Linked DNA regions of Drosophila melanogaster. The protein of the gene in region 2 binds, or shares a complex with, the protein of the main gene of each other region. Each region holds a gene or a part of one and is shown on either strand. Other genes may lie near its edges. The genes, in order: galla-2 and Ciao1. A codon is read from its position in the direction of its gene.

What was found.
Region 1: the proteins of Ciao1 (region 2) and galla-2 are in contact, whole or in part, in a crystal structure (PDB 6TBN), measured with the Drosophila melanogaster proteins. Residues at the interface, in NP_610996.1 of Drosophila melanogaster: Arg16 (codon at 1,552), Trp18 (codon at 1,546), Arg60 (codon at 1,420), Thr61 (codon at 1,417), Arg63 (codon at 1,411), Phe79 (codon at 1,363), Glu105 (codon at 1,285), Lys107 (codon at 1,279), Arg123 (codon at 1,231), Asp150 (codon at 1,150), Lys152 (codon at 1,144), Tyr168 (codon at 1,096), Asn170 (codon at 1,090), Ser195 (codon at 1,015), Thr196 (codon at 1,012), Trp198 (codon at 1,006), Thr216 (codon at 952), Ser248 (codon at 856), Gly249 (codon at 853), Gln250 (codon at 850), His251 (codon at 847), Ser252 (codon at 844), Arg253 (codon at 841), Tyr256 (codon at 832), Gly272 (codon at 784), Asp273 (codon at 781), Asp274 (codon at 778), Arg277 (codon at 769), Glu299 (codon at 703), Gln304 (codon at 688); in NP_648416.1 of Drosophila melanogaster: Ser74 (codon at 2,976), Pro106 (codon at 2,880), Lys109 (codon at 2,871), Thr111 (codon at 2,865), Ala124 (codon at 2,826), Lys127 (codon at 2,817), Gln128 (codon at 2,814), Asp131 (codon at 2,805), Lys132 (codon at 2,802), Glu133 (codon at 2,799), Arg134 (codon at 2,796), Ala136 (codon at 2,790), Ala137 (codon at 2,787), Glu140 (codon at 2,778).

What each region holds. Positions count from the first base shown.
Region 1 is NT_037436.4:10,879,954-10,886,212, reverse strand, and holds galla-2 (galla-2), read right to left. Parts: upstream 3,324-6,259; 5' UTR 3,251-3,323; coding exon 3,130-3,250; intron 3,075-3,129; coding exon 2,725-3,074; 3' UTR 2,640-2,724; downstream 1-2,639. Other genes in the region: OXA1L mitochondrial inner membrane protein, read left to right, coding at 228-311, 423-1,479, 1,554-1,738; CG6409 (uncharacterized protein), read left to right, coding at 4,195-4,206, 4,351-5,421. UniProt on the Drosophila melanogaster protein: Component of the crb-galla-Xpd (CGX) complex which is essential for proper mitotic chromosome segregation in early embryos. The CGX complex is also required for cell proliferation in developing wing disks.
Region 2 is NT_033778.4:14,853,363-14,860,435, forward strand, and holds Ciao1 (Ciao1), read right to left. Parts: upstream 1,687-7,073; 5' UTR 1,598-1,686; coding exon 590-1,597; 3' UTR 501-589; downstream 1-500. Other genes in the region: Ercc1, read left to right, coding at 1-193, 252-440; HPS1 (Hermansky-Pudlak syndrome 1), read left to right, coding at 2,150-3,940; CG33506 (uncharacterized protein), read right to left, coding at 4,151-4,483, 4,546-5,002, 5,062-5,234; U3-55K (U3 small nuclear riboprotein factor 55K), read right to left, coding at 5,599-5,837, 5,894-6,030, 6,088-6,285, 6,347-7,073. UniProt on the Drosophila melanogaster protein: Essential component of the cytosolic iron-sulfur (Fe/S) protein assembly machinery. Required for the maturation of extramitochondrial Fe/S proteins.

The DNA.
Region 1 (6,259 bases), on a different chromosome or scaffold from region 2:
AAGTTTTTTGAATTTATTTCTTTTCATTTAAACTTTTAGCGGTAATCTATAGTCTTGCTAAGTAGCGCCAGAGGGCGCTTTTCCGGAACAGCTGTGACTCTGCTTCTTTATTGCCGTTCACCCGCACGCGTAACTGTGTCCATCTCGCTCGCACTCGCCTAGCTCAAAACGAGGCGAATTTTATCATTTAATTTTATTTTGACCAAATTACGAGCGCTGCGCGGAAAATGTTGGCCCACAGGATGCAGCTTTGGAGGACAACAAACGCGGCAATGGCCATGACTTCCGCAGCCGGCCGTTTCACCCCACAGGTGAGTGAAGATCATTGAAAAAGAGCCGGCGACCTGTGACATAACCTGCAAGTTGGCCAATGTTTGTGTTCGAAAATGTACGCAAATTTCAATGAAAACTCTGTTTGCCAGGCATCCACGGGCAGCAGGAGAGATCTCTACCTCCAAAGGATTACCAGGGGCAGCAGTCTGCCCTTAGCGGCCCCCGAAAAATGGTCCAATCTCGGCCAGCTTCGTTTCGCCAGCGGTGGAGCAACTGCAGCGGGAGTTTCAGCCACCAAAGGCGAGGAGTTCATGCAGGCTGTGCCGAAAACGGAACTAGTGGATCTGCCGGACATACCCGCCGCTCCAGTGCCTCCACCCGCCGATGGTCTGAATGTAATGGATGTGATGAATGCCGCTGGCGAACCCTCCTTCGCCTCCATTGGCTTGGGCGGCTGGTCTCCGGTGGGCATGGTACAGAACTGTTTGGAATTCTTGCACTGCACGTGGGATATTCCCTGGTGGGGAACCATCGCCATTGGAACACTCGCAGTGCGAACCATAATCTTTCCATTGGTCATCTTGGCCCAAAGGAACTCTGCCAAGATGAACAACAATATGCCGCAGATGCAGATGCTGCAGCTGAAAATGACCGAGGCCAGGCAGTCGGGAAACGCCATTGAGTCCGCTCGTTATGCCCAGGAAATGATGCTGTTCATGCGGGAGAAGGGTGTCAATCCGCTCAAGAACATGGTAGTTCCCTTGGCCCAGGCACCGCTCTTCATTAGCTTCTTCATGGGACTGCGACAGATGGCTAACGCGCCGGTCGAATCAATGCGGGATGGCGGACTCTTCTGGTTCACGGATCTCACAATGGCGGATCCCTTCTATCTACTGCCCTTAATCACCAGTGCCACGTTGTACCTGACCATTGAGATCGGAACGGATTCGGCTCGCTTATCGGCTGCCAACATGAACACCATGAAATATGTGCTCAGAGCCCTGCCCATTGTTATCTTCCCGTTTACGATGAACTTCCCCGCTGCCATTTTGACCTATTGGGCGTGCAGTAACTTTATATCGTTGGGGCAGGTTGCGGTGCTAAGGATTCCCTCCGTGAGGGAGTACTTCAAGATCGAAAAGATGCTGACCCATGCGCCCAGTGCACTGCCACCTAAGAAGGGATTCGTCGGCGGAATGAAGGAGTGTAAGTAACAAGGACTGTCCCGCTTCATCTTTTACCTCTTTCGATTTACAACCTTTCTGTTTTGACTTTTCCAGCCTGGGACAACATGAAGATCTCGAAAGAAATCGAGGAGCGACAGCGCCTGGACGAGATCCGATTCGCCAAGGCCGGCAAGGGTCCGCTGGTCAAGACGTACAAGTTCGATCCCACGAAAGTGGCAAAACCCATTTCCGCGGAGCCGCACATGCGGCTAAAGGAGCCGCCGAACAAGCAGGGATAGTTCCTCCATCCTGTAATCGCCGCTGAGCGCTGTGTCTTGTTACGTTAATTTAACCCCTTAGTCTATAGTCCTTCATCATCCGAACGTTTTGCTGCTAAAATATAATTTGTAAATGTACAGAGGCAAACTTCTTGCTGATGAAACCTGATTTGAGAAGTTGGAGACAAAGTTTTGGTAGATGTAATCGCTGTAAAAATAAACTCGTCATGGAAGATACGAATGTATATAAAAACATGATCAGCTATAAATGAAATTGGTGAGTGTTTTCAGTTCAGATAAGATACGGTCCCGAAAGACAATCAAATATACAATTAATTGCGGATAGCTAACGCATTACTATAAAAAATATGGAAATGCTCAGCAAATACTATTAGTCTCAGTTTAAATGCCGTGCAATCAAAAACCATCAATCAATCGAAGCCGGTGTGAATTTTCAAGTTGCTGACCTCGATTATTAGCTTTTAGTTAGCATAGGCTCAGGTAATAAATAAAAGATTTAATAGCAATTATAATAACTAGAGAAGTAGAAGCAAAGCATTTACATGTTTTTAATGGCAAACCATAAAGATTGGTTGGATAGTTTAAAAACCATTTTGGATTATTTATCTATCCAAACAAGTCTAGTCATAGACATAAAAACAATGATGATTCCTAACCATACGTGGAATGCAAACTTGAAATAGGAAATAATTTAGTTTCTCTGACAGACAATTCGATTTGAGTAAAAGGTTATTATTACTACTTAACCAGCTGAGAAAGAGTACCCAATAATTAAATGATGTATGGCGAATGTCCATGTTATTGCTACCTACTAATAACTAACAATTAAGATAATAAACATTACAATGTCTGAAAAATTAAAATCGATCCAAATTTCGGGAAAGGAAAACAGGCACAAACTGCTTTTAAAACAAAATTATTATTACTAAACCAACATCATTATATATATATTTATATATATCTAAAACGAGGATAAAATCATGTAGTTAACCCTTGGCGGCGATGCACTGGTTGATCACCTCGGCGAGGTGATTGTTCTCCAGGGCGGCGGCCACTCGTTCCTTGTCTGCCAGCTGCTTGTTCACCGCCAGCTCGGAGGCGTGGGTGCCGGGCGTTATTTCCACGGTGACCTTAAAGCGAGGTGGCAGCGAGCGGAGCAACTTCACCCGGATGGAGAGGCCAATCAAAGTGGCCATCGAGCAATGGGGAATCGTCGGGGTGAAGCTGATGTGCACGGAATTCTGGCTATCGTTTATCCGGATTAGATCTTCCTGCACCACATGCAGCTCCTCCAGGGTCAAAGGATGTTCCGGGTCATTAATATTTCTGATGAGATCTGGGAAATACGCGAGTCATAAGATATATTCCTTAGCTATCTTCTTTGAACTCACCGAAAATCTCTCGTTTGTCAAATGGATCGGGCACGTTTTCGTCTTCTTCGTTGGCGGTTAATACCCTTTCCTTGATTCTGTCGTAGACATTGGGGTTGATGTTCTCGATTTCCGTGGGCATTTTGTATTGTTCTTTTCTTGAAAACCCTTTATTTACACGTTTTTTTGGCGAAGAGCAAAGAGAAACAATAAGCTATGTCTTTCAGTGTGTCCGCAGTTTTTAGACTATAAGATACAAAATAACACCACGTCTAGTTTATGGTGTGCACACACTTTTTGGGCGCCAACATTATTTGAATTCGAAATTGATCTCATTTTCATAGTTTCATCTAACAGAGCATTTAATTAGTTATACATTTATGCGCATCTTACGCTATTAAAGTTAGTTAATGAAATCTTTTTAATTAATGACAGTAGCCTTTTTTAAGGTTGGAATTATTTGAATACAAATTCAAGAAAATCAGGGCAATTACTAGATCAATCAAATCACAACGTACACTTCCAGGAAAACATCGCACAATTGATATGTTTACCTGTCATCTTACGTAAAGGGCGTAATTACAGACGCCTCGCGATCCATATTTATGTGCTCTTCAAATTAGCTGCGGGAATACTTAACTTAAGTTAGCCGAGCTTAACTTTTTTGCGAGCCAGTGCTAAATGGCCAGCAGATGTGGATGTGGATGAGTCCGTACTTGGCTGCGCTGCTGACTAAGCCTTGAGCCCATTTCGCCGGCCAAACCCGCTTTTATTTTCCATATTTTTATTCCATTTTGCCGCTTTTACGAGAAGCAGCGTTGCCGAGAAGCCGGCGCACTTGACGCCGATTTCCTCGGGTTATAATTAGCCAGACTTATCAATATCAACGTAGAAAAGCAGATTTACATTGTGAACGGGTTTCCGCGCACTTGGCGTGCATCTATTCGCAATTAGCACCGAATTACAAACTGGTTAACAGCCGCTGCCAACGGAGTGGAGAAGCCTGCGGTCGCCCATTTGGGTTTATAAAATGGGTCGCCACTTGGCTGAGATCAGCAGTTTGGGTCACATCTCCAAGCGGTCAGCATGAAGTCGGTTGTAAGTCAAGATCTCAGTTCTCTTGAAGATTATCCCTGAGTTTTCCATACAAGCTATTGTAATCGGTTAATTAATGAGGGCTATAAATTTTATCTTTTGAATATAAAATACGTTTTAATCTATTTGTGTTGCACATTTTCTTAGATTATTCTCTTAGCCCTGGTGGCTTTCTGCCACGCAGCACCTCTGGATGTCAAGGAGTCTACCTCTGAGGAGCTCTCTAGGCCCAGTCCCATCAGCCCCGATGTGCTCGTTGATCCCAAGCCCACCGCCAAGGTAGTCTTGCTGAAGGATGCTCCCGTCCTGAATCGCCAGAGGCGTAATGAACCCAAGAAGCCCGACAGCGTGGAGGCCCACGAACAGCTGCATCACTCGCAGCCGGCCGTTCCTATTCATGACCAGAAGCCTTCTCCGGCTGGGCCACAGGACCACAAGCGCAAGAGGGAAGCTCACCACGAGGAGGGTCACCATGGTGACGATGCAGTGCCCCAGAAGGAGGAAGTGAAGCAAGCTCCCGAGGACCATGACGCCAAGAAGGAAAAGAGAGAGGCTCACCATGAGGAGGGTCACCAAGACCATGAGGCTCCTCATAAGGAGGAAGTGAAGCAGGCCCCCGAAGCTCATGATGCCAAAAGGGAAAAGCGAGAGGCTCACCACGAGGAAGGCCACCATGGTGATGATGCAGCTCCACATAAGGAGGAAGTGAAGCAGGCTCCCGAAACACATGAGGACAAGAAGGAAAAGAGGGAAGCTCACCACGAGGAGGGCCACAAGGATGAGGCAGGTGATCGTCCTCAGGTGGAGGATCTTTCGCTGCCCCATGCCCTGCCCGCTGTGGCCCACACCGCCGAGCTGCCCAAGAAGCAGGAAAAGCGCGAGACTGTGGAGAAACCCGACAGCGTGAAGGCCCGTGAGTCGCTCCAGCACAATCCCCAGCGATCCCAGGAGCTCCACAAGGCCATCGAATCTCTGGCCGGTGGAAAGGCGCCGGAACAGCGTCACCAGCGCGATATTCCCGTGCCCACGCAAACCAAAGCCACCACCACCACCGATCTCCCATCCACCACCAAATCGGAGCTGGAAAGCACCACTCCGTCCATCCACAATCTCCACATCCCCCATCCCATTCCCGTGGCCGAGCTCTTCGAGAAGAACAAGCACGCGGATAAGTCCACTTCCAGTTCCGAGGAAAGCAAGGAGAAAGCTAAGGCCTAGGCTTCCTATGTTAAGAGTCGCTAATGGGACCATCACGAGATTTGTAGTCAGCGAAACGAACTAAAATAAACACAAATATTTACATGCTTATATAAAAAGACTGGGCGTTAATTATTTAATAAATATTTATGTGGATGGCTGTCTGTAAAAAGGCAGTTAATATAATAGGCAAAGTAAAAAGTGGTATCTACTGCATTTCAGGCATTAATTATGGGTAAAACTTCCAAGAATTAATTCAATTGTAATATAATTTAATATTACTTCAAGGGAAATATATGAAGCTTTAAATGTACTTCATATTTGTTAATAATACTTCTACACACGTTGGTAATAATAAATTTAAGAACCTTGTACCGATTTTAAACGCCTTCAAGCGCACTAAATTTTATGCGTTAAAGTAGCTTCCTGGTAACAAATTTAATTTGTGTTCTAGACAAAGGCGTACACAGAGAATTGTTATTATAGTAAAGCTGTATTGCAGTTTTTTTTAGAATTTTTCCACGTTATAGGCAGCAATTTAAATGCGAGACTCCACGGATTTCCCCGTATAAATTCGAGCAATTTAACTTCGCGCTTCCCGTAAAAAAAAACATTGAATATTTACGTAAGCACCTCTTCGCTAATTATTCACTAAATATTTATGGCATCCACGTAGCTAACTGCTATTTTATTCACTACTCTAATGTAAGTAATCAGTAATATAAATATAAACAGCCAGACTTAATGTAACAATAAACAACGTATTGTTTGCCTCGGTTTTTTCCATTCTATCTGTAATTTTTCGCTATAATTATAATGACAATTATAACAAGTAGGTGCTTAAATGTAATTACGAAGC
Region 2 (7,073 bases):
GGTCCAGGTGGACACACCAGAGCCAAACAATGCCCTCAAGAGCTTGACCAGGATATCACTGTTAGCCGACCTGACAATGATGTTGGCCTGGAACGCTGAGGAGGCGGGCAAAATCATTGAGACGTACAAACAGTTCGAGAAGCGTCCGCCAGATTTGATCATGGAGCGAGTGGAGTCTAATCCACACCAGAAGGTACGCATGTTTACATTGCCAGTATCGCCACTGTAATGCAATATCCCAATGTCCATAGCTACTCGCTGCTCTCACCAACATCAAGCCGGTGAACAAGACTGATGCTGCCGCCTTGCTGCACACCTTTGGCAACCTGGGCAACATAATCAATGCCAGCGAGGAGCGACTCTCCCAGGTGATGGGACTGGGTCCCCGGAAGGCCAAGAAGCTGTACAAAACGTTGCAGGAACCGTTCCTCAGCAAATAGCAATCCATATTAGGTGTAATGCATCCCATAATCGTGTATGACACACTTCATCCATCATTTGAATACTTTAATTTTTTATTACGCAGACACTGTACAAAAATTAAGTTCCAGAATTACCCACTTAAATATATCAAACAATAATCCTTATGTTACTCGGTCACTTTCCAAATTTTAATGGTGCCATCATCGCTGCATGATATCAGTTGCCCGGCCACCACAGGATTCCACTGCACCGAGTTTACGTCCTGATCGTGAGCGCCTTCCTCCGCGGTTATCTGCTCGAACGTGGGTTCGTCTGGCTTGGAGTCGCTGCTCTCCTTAAAGATACGAATGCCGTCGTCGCCACAGGCAGTCGCTATCAGACCTGTAAGCTTGCACCAGGACACGTCGTAGATAGCCCGCGAGTGCTGCCCGGACACTGTGCACACGCACTTCCACACGGTTTGCTGGTCGGGCGTAGCCACTCCGGCTGTATTTCCGGGATGGTAGGCCCTCCAAATCTTTATTGTGGTGTCATCGCTACAGGAAACCAGGCGCTCGCCATCAGCATCGAAGTCAATGCCCCAAACCGTGCTTGTGTGTGAAGTAAGAGTGGCTGTGCAATCCCAGTCGTTGTCTATGGGCTCCTCTGCGAACATTTTTATGGTATTGTCGTACGAGGCGGAGGCCAAAATGTCCTTGGTTGGATGCCACACCACTCTCTTCACGTCCTGTGTGTGCGGGTTCAAAACGGCGGCGCACTCGAACTCATCATCGCCGGCAACCTCCCAGATCCACACGGACTTGTCCCGCGAACAGGTGGCCAGTAGTCCGCCGGATCGCGACCAGCTAACGCTCTTCACCTCGTTTTCGTGACCCTCCAATGTTGCGTTGCATTCGAATTCTCCCGAGGATTTCGACCAGATCGCCGTGGTGGCATCAAAGCTGGCCGAGGCCAAGTACTGACCGCATGGAGACCATCGGATCTCGCGAATAGTGCGCTTGTGGCCATCGGATAGGATGGTCTTTGTGCTCCAAGTGTTCCCGGTCAGCGACCAAATGCGGATGGCTTTGTCCTCGCCGCACGAGGCGAATACGTTGCCCTTAGGATGCCATGCCACTCCCCAGATGCGCCCCTTGTGGCCCTGCAGCGTGTGTTCCAGAATTAAACGTCCCATTGATGGTCAAGTGCTGTATTAGTGGACAAATCACTGTCTGTCCAAATAATGATAACATAAGCGCATGTCGCAAGAAGAAGAAAGTCAGCTGTCGTCAGTGTGGTCAAACGTCGGCAGAAGTCGTTCATCTAGCTTAATTTGTAAATCGGGATAAAATTAAATTTTAAAATTGTGTTCTTCATATCTAAGCAAAGCGATATTGCTTTGCAATAATAAAAAAATGCAATAAATTTGAAAATTCATATATTATAAATTATAAATTAATTTGATCAGGAAACTTATTACAGTTCAATACTTAGTAACTCAACTAAAAGCAATTTCAATTGGCAATTCGGATAAAAAAAGTCGAACGTATACTAGGCTTTTAATATATAATTCTGGCTTGAAAAGCGTTGAATTGCTCAGAGCTGAATCGCTCTAGTGTTGTTAAATGCTGACTTGAAGTCTTCACCTTTTCTTATCAGAACACACACCGAATTCCGTTACCCAGCACCAGTGACACTGGTGAAAGTTTTGTTGTGTATTTGGTGTTTTGCCAATGCTGATAAGAAAATGAACGGACTGATTGTGTTTAACAGCGCCAACGATGTTGTATACCAGAAGCTTAACGAGCCGCTGGCGCAGAAGATCCGGAGTGTGGCCACCACCCAGGGCCTGCTCCAGTCCGGCGGCTCCCTGGACAGCAACATACTGCTGCAGATTTTCAGCCCCATCGTTGGATCTCAGCGAATAATGCAGTGCCAGTTCGATAATGCCTACTCCAGCCTGCAGTGTGAGCAAGGCTTCAATTTGGTGTTCGGCGAACTTCTTGGCTTCACCTTTCTGAAGATCGGACAAATACCCGTGGAGCTGCTGGGTCGCCAAATGGGTGTGGCCATTACGCTGACGCGCTATTGTTACGGCGCCAATTTGTTTGCCGCCCAGGCGGGGGCCATGCAACAGGAGTTGCTGACGCAGTGCCTCGACTGCTATGAGACTTTGTTGTGGGAGGAGGATCAGACGTACCTGCTGGAGGCCATGCCCAGGCTGCTGATCAACACGGAACTAAAGAGGACAGTGCATCTGACGCTGGACGCCACGCTTGAGCACTTGCGCCAGCTCGGACTGCCCCGAGCCCACGCCCTGTTGCTCGTTTCCAACAAGCTGGTGGCCGCGAACAGCACTCGGCAAGCTCTGCCGCTTGCTGCCGCCGACCTACTCTTCCTCAGCCTCATGTCACGCGCCCTGCAAGCGCCAAAGTCCCCTTCCCAGCGAGCAGTAGCTGTATTCCTGCAGGGTGTCTCCTATGATGTGAACTCTGGCTGCGTTCCCAGTATCGTGCACATCTCGCGTCTCCATGGTAACCAAGTTCTCCTGCAGGTCATCGAGTACGCCCACATGCCACTGACCAGCTGCATCTACGATTCCTTCTTTGTGCTTCAAAAAATCGTGGCTGTTCAGCATCAGGGCGATTCGGATGCCCTGAAGCCCGCCTTCGAGAACCTCGAATCGTTTATTGTGCAGGCCTTGACCGCTTTGAAGCGATATCTGAAACAGCGATCGGAAACCGATGACCTAGAGAACTGCACGAAGAAGTTCGCCGCTAAATGGGAGAATCTTCGCAAGATGTACACTGAGTACTTCAAGAACTTTGAGCGGGAGCTGCTCGTGAGGATTGAGTCGAATTTGCCCTCGTTCGGAGAGGAACTGAAGCAGATATTCACACTGGCCTGCTGCGACAGCTCAAGTGTCCATGAGCTGGATCAACTCTCTGATACGGCAGCGAATGTGGAAGCCAAGCTACTGGAGTTCGCTGAATTTCTGGCCGTTAAGGCCACTCGTAACATATCCATTGATGCTTATTTGGAGGATTTTCCGGGTCTGGTGCACTTTATGTACGTCAATCGCAGCCGAGGACAAATGCTTGCTCCGGATCTGCGACCGAACCAGCTGGTGCCAAAGACAAAACTCTGGAGCATGGTGGAGATCGCGAGAAATTACCTTAAGAAGGGCCAGACCACAGTGATGTGGAAGGATAAGGCATTCCATTACTCGTACTTCCTCTGGTTCGAGGACATGTCTGGTGGCGTTCTTAGTACCGTCGTGGATTTGCAGCACCACTTTCTGTCCACAGGAGCAGCCAGTGGCAACGGTTCGAAATCCCCAACAGAACCAGGTGCTCTTACAATGGACTATTACCACGATCTGGCGGAGTTGTGCTTCCCCAAGCTGTCACCGGCCAAAGTGCGCGTCTACGAGTTGTATTGCATTCATCTGGGACTGGTAACCGCCACATGCGCCGTGGAGCATGCACGTCGCCTGGTGGCCACCATCAGTGATGTTGTGGGCGAGGAAGCGTTTTAAGTGCATTGGCCATTGGTCATTCCAGATTTATAACATGATTTCTAGTCAATTTTCGAGACTCCTAGGCGAGATAATCCACTCGAAATTTTGTTAGGTTTAGGACAACTATCATCCACTGTTATAGGCTACACAACAAGGATATTTGTAAAGTTATTGGAAACATATATATTTTCTTCAACCGGCAATAAAAATGTAACAATAAATGTGTGTTTACTCTGTTTCAGGCTGTTGCGCCTTTTTGAGTTCCTCCAGCTTCTCCAGGAAGAAAGATTTTCGTGCTGTTAGCGGCATGGACTTTTGCCGAATCATATAGTTTTCGTTGCCCAGTGCAGTGTAAACGTCATTTCCAATCAGCTCCCTCAGCGCGATGTTCTTCTTTAGATGTTTGTCGTAAAAGCTAGCTCCAGCTGCCACAAGTTGGGGACCCATCGTGGCCAGTCGCTGGTCAATCTCTGCGTCCGTAGAGACCTGATTGTAGTCTTTCATGAAGGACCAGAGCCCTAAGCCAAACAGACCCAGAATGCTGTAGAGCACAAACCGCACCTGGTAGTTGAAAAACGGAAATCAGTAAAAAATTTTAAAAGTGAGAGAGGTTGAAAACTCACGCTTCCATGGCGGGCGAAGAGATCTAGCCGCAGGTTGAGGTAGTGACCCATGGTGTAAACCATAAGAAAGCTGACGCTGGGAAAGATGGAGTTGAGCAGTACCCGATGGGTTTGCATCTGCAGAACAGCCTTGCTAAGACCGAAAATCTGTTCATCCTCATTCAAAACGATGGCTTCCTCTAGCAGTTTTCCGCTGGGAGAACTCCAGTTGATCTGTTTGTCTCTAAACCGAATGTCTGCCCGCTTAATCTCCTCCAGACTGTCGTATCCATAGTTCACCGGTATGCCCAAAGCGCCTCCAAATCGAAACTTAGTGGTGCCCGCCTGGAAAACATCGAATCCAAAGACGGTGAAGGGCTTCACAAACTTTCGCTCAAAGGGCGTCACGCCCAGCTGATCCAATGCCTTTTCCAGGCGCTGCTGCACTGCCTCCGGCACTGGACGCCCCACGCCGTGTCTATGAAAAGAAGTGGGATGTTAGAATCGCTTCCAGTCACCAAAAGTTTTCTCACCCACTGGTAGCATTGCACGAAATCGCGGTAATATTTCAGGCCGAATGTGTGCGGCAGGAAGTTTCCAAGAAAGAGGCCCACTGTGGTGGCTCCCGCCGCGTAGAATACGAGTTTTCGGCCCTTTTCAGTCTTAAAATAGGAGAAGAACCCTCCACCGGTTTTTAATTTCGGCAACATTTCAGCACTTATTGTTTTGTAACAGGGCCAGTGTGACCATGACTAGCTATTGAAAGTAGCCAACACTAAGGAACCATTTGCGGTTATAACAAACCGAATATCGGTTTTAGAAAAAATATTTGAGCTAATGGAAATAGACGACCAGATACCCCTTACTTTAATATAAGGAGTTAAATTTCAATCTGAAGCAAATTTAATAAATTCAAAAACATTCGTTTGATCTTGTTTATAAAGAACAAATAAATTTTATATGTTTGAAAGTAAGAACCTTCAGGTAGAAGATACAAATGATCTTTATGTATATATTTTCAGGCCGTTTCTTGTTACAAAAACTATACAACTTTACTTAAGCTTAGAAGTTAACCTAACTGCTGGCCGCGCTCTGTAACTTAACGTCGAGTACAACTACTTGGTTTTTTGCCTCCTTGAGTCGCCACCAGCGACCCAGGCGGTGCTCCTGTCCGGTGGCCACAAACAGCTTGCTGCCATCGGCATTGAAAGCCAGTCCGTTGATGAAGCCGGCGATGGATATGCTCTGGATTAGGTTCATTTTACGCGCGTTGGGATTAGTCTGCCAAAGACGGACGCAACCGTCACAAGAACCTAGAATCATGAATATTTAATTACAGTTCGCAGTAAGAAATATGCGCAATTCCCACCTGTTGCCACTAAATCCGTGTTGACCACCACAGCAATGGCGGTTATCCAGTTGGCCACGCCATTCTCGCCCACTCCGTGCGCCAGTTGCGTTGTACAAATGGGCTTCTTTTTCAAAGCGCTCCATAAACCGATTGCTCTGTAAAATGGTGTTGTTACTTCCATACTGAATTAGTTAGCCAGACTCCCAACTTACCCATCCATGCCACCAGACACAAAATGCTCATCGTTGATGTACTTAACGCACTCAATGCTATCTTTGTGTCCATTGTAGATCAGCTGCGATTCCTCTGTGATCTTCCAAATGCGCAAGGAGCAATCCGAACCGCCAGCGGTAATGGCGCGCTCTCGACTCAGTGCATCTATGCTAGTTACTGCCGTTTGGTGACCGAATCTGAAAGGAGGAGCTCGTTAAATGTCTGATATTAAGGGGGATTAACTAGCATAGTACTCACAAACTCTCCACATAGGCCATCTCATCCAGGGACCAGATTTTCACCGATCGATCCTTGGCTGCCGAGTACAAGTCATGTGTGCCTTTGCGAAAGACCAGACCTGCCACACTATCCCGGTGGCCTTTAAGAGTCTTAATGTGCTTCATCGTCTGGGGACACCAAATTTGAATGTGTGGACCACCTTCGGCCAAGGCCAGATACTTCATGTCCGAGGACAGGCATATGCTGATGACATGCGATCGCCTTTTCTTGCCCGTTTCTGGTTCCTCGCGATGCGACAGCACGTCCGATTTCTCCAGCACCTTCCCCGTTTCCGTGCACCACTTAAGTAGGAATTGCGATTTGGCTCCCGTGTAGAGGAATTTACCATCCGGACTGAGTGCAAGGGCACAGATAGGCGTGTGGTGGAGTTTGTGCTTGAGGATGCGGCTCGATTCGCAGGCTTTCAGGCTGCCAGCAATGTTCCGGCGCAGTTTGCCCACGCTATCCAAGTATTCCGTTTGCAAGCGCTGCTCCACGCTTTGGGCCAGCTCCCGATCCTCGGCGCGTTCCGCCTCTTGCTTCTCGATCTCCGACAGATACTGTTTGGCCAGACGCAGGCGCTTGTCCTGCGGCGTTTCCTCCTCGCCCTCGTCGGATGAAAATGCCAAGGTGTTGTCATCGCCGCCCAGATCGCTGTTGTACTCCTCATCGTCGCTAGCTATCTCCTCGTCCTCCTCCTTGGGAC